Saccharomyces cerevisiae S288C: one gene and its partner. The protein of the gene in region 1 interacts with the protein of each later gene in a pairwise test. Each region holds a gene or a part of one and is shown in the gene's direction. Other genes may lie near its edges.

The links. The genes of interacting proteins can lie anywhere in the genome.
Region 2: the proteins of ERG26 (region 1) and ERG24 interact in binary tests that used the Saccharomyces cerevisiae proteins (3 or more experiments, as listed by UniProt).

The regions. Positions count from the first base shown.
Region 1 is NC_001139.9:494,925-498,257, reverse strand, and holds ERG26 (sterol-4-alpha-carboxylate 3-dehydrogenase (decarboxylating)), read left to right. Parts: upstream 1-1,755; coding exon 1,756-2,805; downstream 2,806-3,333. Other genes in the region: EFM5 (protein-lysine N-methyltransferase), read left to right, coding at 224-258, 321-799, 893-1,125; ERP6 (Erp6p), read right to left, coding at 3,091-3,333. UniProt on the Saccharomyces cerevisiae protein: Sterol-4-alpha-carboxylate 3-dehydrogenase; part of the third module of ergosterol biosynthesis pathway that includes the late steps of the pathway.
Region 2 is NC_001146.8:108,565-112,333, reverse strand, and holds ERG24 (delta(14)-sterol reductase), read left to right. Parts: upstream 1-1,922; coding exon 1,923-3,239; downstream 3,240-3,769. Other genes in the region: pheromone-regulated protein PRM1, read right to left, coding at 1-1,417; HCH1 (Hch1p), read right to left, coding at 3,406-3,769. UniProt on the Saccharomyces cerevisiae protein: Delta(14)-sterol reductase; part of the third module of ergosterol biosynthesis pathway that includes the late steps of the pathway. ERG24 reduces the C14=C15 double bond of 4,4-dimethyl-cholesta-8,14,24-trienol to produce 4,4-dimethyl-cholesta-8,24-dienol.

The DNA.
Region 1 (3,333 bases):
AGTATTGTCATCTCATAGAATATCAACTGCATAATATACATGTATATATAATTTCCCATTCATTTAGAGGCTTCTTTTTTCGTCTGTATCGCTGAACCTTATGCCGGTTAAATCTAACAAAATTTTTTTGAACTGGAGGAACTAAAAAAAAAAATATTAATCTTGACTAATATACTAATCAGTCACTTTACATCTTAATGAAACCGAAAGAATCACTGATAAAATGTCCGACTCCGACTCCGACTCCGATTATGAATTGTAAGTACAGGATATTTTCAACACAGTAACGTAGAATTACTAACTAACACGAAACTTAATAGGACACTTTCTGCTAATGCCCTCGCTGCCCTTGAAGAATTCAAAAGAGAGGAACAACAACATCAAGAAGCCTTTCAAAAGCTTTACGACGAAACGGATGAAGACTTCCAAAAGAAAAAAAAAGAAGAAGGGATGAAGCTTTTCAAGGAAGATTGGCAGCTTTCCCAGTTTTGGTACAGCGATGACACAGCCGCAATTTTAGCAGATGCCATATTGGAAGGTGCGGACGAAAACACTGTAATTGCAATAGTTAGTGCGCCATCCGTCTATGCTGCCATTCAAAAGAAACCTACTAATGAAATTCCAACCGAACATATCTACTTGTTCGAATTTGATAAGAGATTCGAGTTGTTAGCTGGAAGAGATCATTTCTTTTTTTATGATTACAATAAACCACTGGACTTCAGTGATGAAATTAAAGGAAAAGTTGATAGATTGTTAATTGACCCACCTTTTTTAAATGAAGATTGTCAAACAAAGTGTATGTATATCATAAACATATCCCTACTCATTTTTTAATCTTTTTTCCAGTATCTTTTCATCTTACTAACTGTTATTCATTGATATAAAATAGCCTCTATCACTGCAAAGTGTTTATTAGCGCCAAATGACAACTCTAAAACTAAGAAAGGAGTTTTTAAGCACCGCCTCATAAGTTGTACTGGTGAAAGAATGTCTGAAGTCATATCCAAAGTTTATTCTGACACAAGAATAACAACTTTTCTTCCTGAACATTCTAATGGTTTGAGTAACGAATTTAGGTGCTACGCAAATTTTGAATGTAGTTCATGGAAATTTGCTTCTTGAGCTTTTTAAGAGCTTCGATAAATTTGAAAATTAATTGTACTACATAAAAAATATGTAAACATCAATATATATAATATAATCACATTTCAAATATATCACGTGTTATATTTACTATATAAAAATTCAATAAATAAAAAGTTAGAAGATAAAAATTATATTATACATATTTTTATTTTTATTATAATTTTTGTTTTTGCCTTCCGAAAAGAAAATAGTTTTTTGTATTACGGAAATTACAGAAAAATGTTTAATTTTGATTTCATATTTTTTCTTTCTTTGAAAGAATATTGACGACAAAGTATTGGATAATTATAATGCAAGGAAAGGATATTTGTAGATCTTCGGTTCAATGAAAGTTAATGCGGTATGAATATTGCTTTCTCCAGGACCTTTTTTTTTTTTTAGAGGCTATTTTATTGTCGGTGTTTGTGGATTTTATATTTCTCGGTCCGATAGTCCCTATAGATCGTTTATTGTTCTCTCGAGAAATGGTATCGTTTAAAAATCTCATATAAGCCTGCAAGGAAAAGATTATGCTGCAGCTATAAAATAGAATAGACAACAATATAGATTGTCAATTTTGTCCAATTTTATTTGCAACTCTACCTGGAAGGGCAAACAAAAATAAATATGTCAAAGATAGATTCAGTTTTAATTATCGGTGGTTCTGGTTTTCTTGGATTGCACTTAATTCAGCAATTTTTTGATATTAATCCTAAGCCAGACATCCACATTTTTGATGTTAGAGATCTCCCTGAAAAACTTTCAAAACAGTTTACTTTTAATGTAGACGACATAAAATTTCATAAGGGTGATTTAACATCACCTGATGATATGGAAAACGCAATTAACGAAAGTAAAGCAAATGTTGTTGTTCATTGTGCTTCTCCAATGCATGGTCAAAATCCAGATATTTATGACATAGTGAATGTTAAGGGAACCCGTAACGTGATAGATATGTGCAAGAAATGTGGCGTTAATATACTTGTATATACTTCCTCTGCTGGTGTTATTTTTAATGGGCAAGATGTGCACAATGCAGACGAAACCTGGCCAATCCCAGAAGTTCCTATGGATGCGTACAATGAGACTAAAGCTATCGCCGAAGATATGGTCTTGAAGGCGAATGATCCAAGCAGTGATTTCTATACTGTTGCTCTTCGTCCAGCTGGTATTTTTGGCCCAGGTGATAGGCAATTAGTACCTGGTCTAAGACAGGTTGCGAAATTGGGGCAGTCGAAGTTCCAAATTGGTGATAATAACAATCTATTTGATTGGACTTATGCTGGAAATGTTGCTGACGCGCATGTGTTAGCTGCACAGAAACTTCTCGATCCAAAAACAAGAACTGCTGTCTCGGGTGAAACTTTTTTCATTACCAATGATACCCCCACCTATTTTTGGGCCTTGGCCCGTACTGTGTGGAAGGCAGATGGTCATATTGATAAACATGTTATTGTTTTGAAAAGGCCAGTTGCAATTTGTGCAGGTTATCTTTCAGAATGGGTATCCAAGATGCTGGGTAAAGAGCCAGGTTTGACTCCATTCAGAGTCAAGATTGTGTGTGCATACCGTTATCACAACATTGCTAAGGCCAAAAAGTTGCTAGGCTACACACCAAGAGTTGGTATTGAAGAAGGAATTAACAAAACGTTGGCCTGGATGGACGAAGGTTTGTAATGGCAATCGTTAGGAGCTTTTTGATCCGATTATCGAAAGATAGTATGTTGAAATAGCATATCTGATACGCACCGTATATATTTATTCTGTCTTTATAGATGAATAATAAGAATTGAAACACCTAAAACATCTTGATGACTAGGTTAGTATATATATGTATACACTCATTTAATGACTACACTATGAAGCGTCGGGGTAATGCATGTAAATAAATAGAAATAAATCATTGAAACAACGAAATTCTCATGTATGCCTGCTAAGGATTCAATTTTTTGATATGTACGGTCATAATACTTTCTGCTTAACAAAAAACGAGCGTAAACTTTTCATTTGCCATACACAAATTATAATGAGAAGAGTAACTTGAGTTACCGTCCACCACATTGCGCGAGAATTCACAGACTCTGATATGTCTCTAAAGGATTCTTCACGTTCTCTCATCAGTTGTTGCTCTCTCCTGATATCCACGATCTTAGAATTCAATATACTGACTTTTCCGTGCAAACTTTCCAAGGTTTCTTTTCTTTG
Region 2 (3,769 bases), on another chromosome or scaffold:
CGACGGCAGTGCTAGACTTCAGCAAATTTTGAACGCCGTCACCATCATTAGAAGTCAATGAATGGCTTATCTTGTGTTTTAACAGTGCTATCATGACAAATTGGCATATGCACACTAAAATTCCCAAAAGTCCAATTCCAAGAACACACAGTGCTCTTTCGGAGGTCATATAAGCCACTACCCATTCTATTTTTTGTTTAGTCTTTGGGTCAATGTTCTCTGGTGATTTTCCAAAGGTAACAAGATTTGTCATCCAGCCTGCTATTCTTGTGTTCCATGTTTGAAAGCACTGCTGATAGCTTGCAATGACATCATATTGGCCATTTTGTATAGGAGGATCTCTAAATGGATCTTTCAATTCGTGCGTGTTTTCACTGGAAAAGGACGTATACGAATCTTGCCTGCTCAGCATGTAATGGTCTCTCATTCCGCAAAGGCGCCTCCAGAGCTTGATTTCATTCCATGCAACGGGCGCCATCGCACCAACAGCGAAGCATATCAATACGGTAATGCACACTACGGTGGCTATTTTCAGGACATGTCCCAAGATGGAATAAAAGGCCAAAATTTCTGATTGATTGGATGAGCAAATCCCAGTACTGTTGTCAAGGGACACGGGAGGTACGTACAAAACGGAGGTATCTCCGATTATATTGCTGGCATTCACGGCCTTGATATTCTTCCGAACTTCATTGAAGGGAACCGAGATCAGGTTCTTGGTTGTATTCTTAACCTGGGCAAAGTCCGGCGTCTTTGCCGATAACTCTTCAAGCTTATCGTTGATTGAGGAAGGAATGTATAAATTGTGAAGCGCAGATATGGTTAAGTTGACGCTTTTGATTGACGACGTCATGTTACTGTCATCGTCATCACCTGTGAAAAAATTCTCTACTTTGGATGCGGCCTTGATCACTTTATTGATTATTTTGGAGATGTCATTCAAGCCCGTATCCAATTCATTAGCCACACTTGAAACTGTATCATTGACTAAGCTAATCAGTTTTTCTGTAATGTTAGTAGCAACGTCCACGGTACCATCAACGGCACTAACAATCAAACAGGCATAAGTGCCCAAATACAGGTCAATGGCAAAGTTTACCAGCCCCTCGCTCGCATATACTATAAGTGATAACGTCTCTAGCGTAGCTTTAACAGTCTCCTCCATACCCTTCTCGATAAGATAATTCCCCATGATACCTAAATAGTGCGGCGTGTTGTCTGTCATCTTGGAGTATAGTGAATCAATACTGTAACAATTGGACAAAATATACGTTTCCGAGACTTCTATCGCATGTTGTATGGATTTGGAGAAAAACAGAAGCTTCAGCATTGCTAGCAGCAAAACCAAAGTATACTTATTTAGCCATATTTGAGAGAGCCTGTCACCCAATTGCAAATAGCATTTAAAACCGCTCATATCATCAACGTTCACAAATTCGAAAGGGAATCATCCTAACCAAATATTTCGGGATTATCTTAAGGACTTATGTTGGTCACATTCGTCATATATATATACCTCTTGCCAGCAACAGGCCAGTTATAAGTTAAAATTAATATGTGACGCACTTCTGAAACAGTATTGAAACAGTATTGAAACATATGTATTACCCGGACTCTGCATGCTCTGTCGTTCATTTTATTTTCACCTAAACGAAAATCCCGTGAAAAAAATTTATATCGCCTTTCGCTCTTTTGTATGTAGGCATCATCGGAAATTTGCATTGTGTGAAGGTTGTGCATATAAAGGGTTTTGCATAACGGACGTTTTTCACGTACTCCGTCTGAGCATCAAGTGAGGCTTGAGTTTACGTTTGTTTTTAATAATCAGTTTTCATTCTACTATTTTCTTGCGCAATTGCTTATCAGATAGACCTTGTAAACAGCATAGGAGTAAAGACAAATTCGGTGTAGAGAATAAAAGGATGGTATCAGCTTTGAATCCCAGAACTACAGAGTTTGAATTTGGTGGGCTGATTGGTGCCTTAGGCATCAGCATAGGGCTGCCTGTTTTCACTATCATCTTGAATCAAATGATAAGGCCCGATTATTTTATTAAGGGATTTTTCCAGAATTTCGATATAGTTGAGCTTTGGAACGGTATCAAGCCATTGCGCTACTATCTGGGCAATCGTGAATTATGGACTGTCTATTGCCTGTGGTATGGAATACTGGCAGTTTTGGACGTCATTTTACCGGGCAGAGTCATGAAGGGTGTTCAGTTAAGGGATGGTTCGAAGCTTTCGTATAAGATCAATGGAATTGCCATGTCTACAACTTTGGTCTTAGTTTTGGCTATCAGATGGAAATTGACTGATGGACAATTGCCTGAATTGCAATATCTGTATGAAAATCACGTTAGTTTATGCATAATATCTATTTTGTTTTCGTTCTTTTTGGCGACGTACTGCTATGTTGCCAGCTTCATACCATTGATCTTCAAGAAAAATGGTAATGGCAAAAGGGAAAAGATCTTAGCACTAGGTGGAAATTCAGGAAACATCATTTACGATTGGTTTATTGGTAGAGAACTGAACCCTCGTCTCGGCCCATTAGATATCAAGATGTTTTCAGAGTTGAGACCCGGCATGTTGTTATGGTTACTGATCAATCTTTCCTGTCTGCATCACCATTACCTGAAGACTGGTAAAATCAACGATGCATTGGTCTTGGTTAATTTCTTGCAAGGATTTTACATTTTCGATGGAGTACTAAACGAGGAAGGTGTATTAACCATGATGGATATCACTACAGATGGGTTTGGTTTCATGCTAGCGTTTGGTGACTTAAGTTTAGTTCCATTCACCTACTCATTACAAGCGCGTTACTTGAGTGTTTCCCCTGTGGAATTGGGATGGGTGAAAGTTGTCGGTATATTAGCCATAATGTTTTTGGGTTTCCACATCTTCCACTCGGCAAATAAGCAAAAATCTGAGTTTAGACAAGGTAAATTAGAAAATCTAAAAAGTATTCAGACAAAGCGTGGTACAAAGTTATTATGTGACGGGTGGTGGGCTAAATCACAGCATATCAATTACTTTGGCGATTGGCTGATTTCATTAAGTTGGTGTTTGGCCACCTGGTTCCAAACTCCCTTGACATATTACTACTCGTTGTACTTCGCCACGTTGTTATTACACCGTCAACAACGTGATGAGCACAAGTGCCGCCTGAAATATGGCGAAAATTGGGAAGAATACGAAAGAAAAGTTCCTTACAAGATCATTCCATATGTTTATTAAGTTTTTCTACCACTGCTATTTTCTTCATTATCTATGTATGTGTGTATACATGTTATGTATTGGGTGAGTATGAGGAAGAAGAAGAATAACAATTGAAAACGCTGGAAAAATTAAAAGGGGCGGTGGTCTATCTATGCAACGCTCCCCTTTTCGTTACATGAACACATCAAACTTGTATATCCTTTGAGTGTTCTTTAATCAAGTCATCTTGGTATTTTAGTAGCGTTTCCACTACTTTAGGGACAAATTCAGACCTAACCAATCCATCAAAAGCATCAAACCCTTGCGACAAAATCGGAATATCAGACTCGTCATGCATAAACTCTGGAATTTCTAGTTTCCCGTCCGCAAGTATGCCGTCATCATCCTCGTCGTCCTTATTAGTATCCAAATTTGTCACTTTGACGTTCATCGACAACTGTAAGTCAAAGTAGCAAATCGGCTTGCCCTTCCTTTGAGATACGTTGGAGTCACCGGTGATGCTACTCACCTGGGTTAACTCAATTTTGCTCTTCCCATCAGAGGAAACA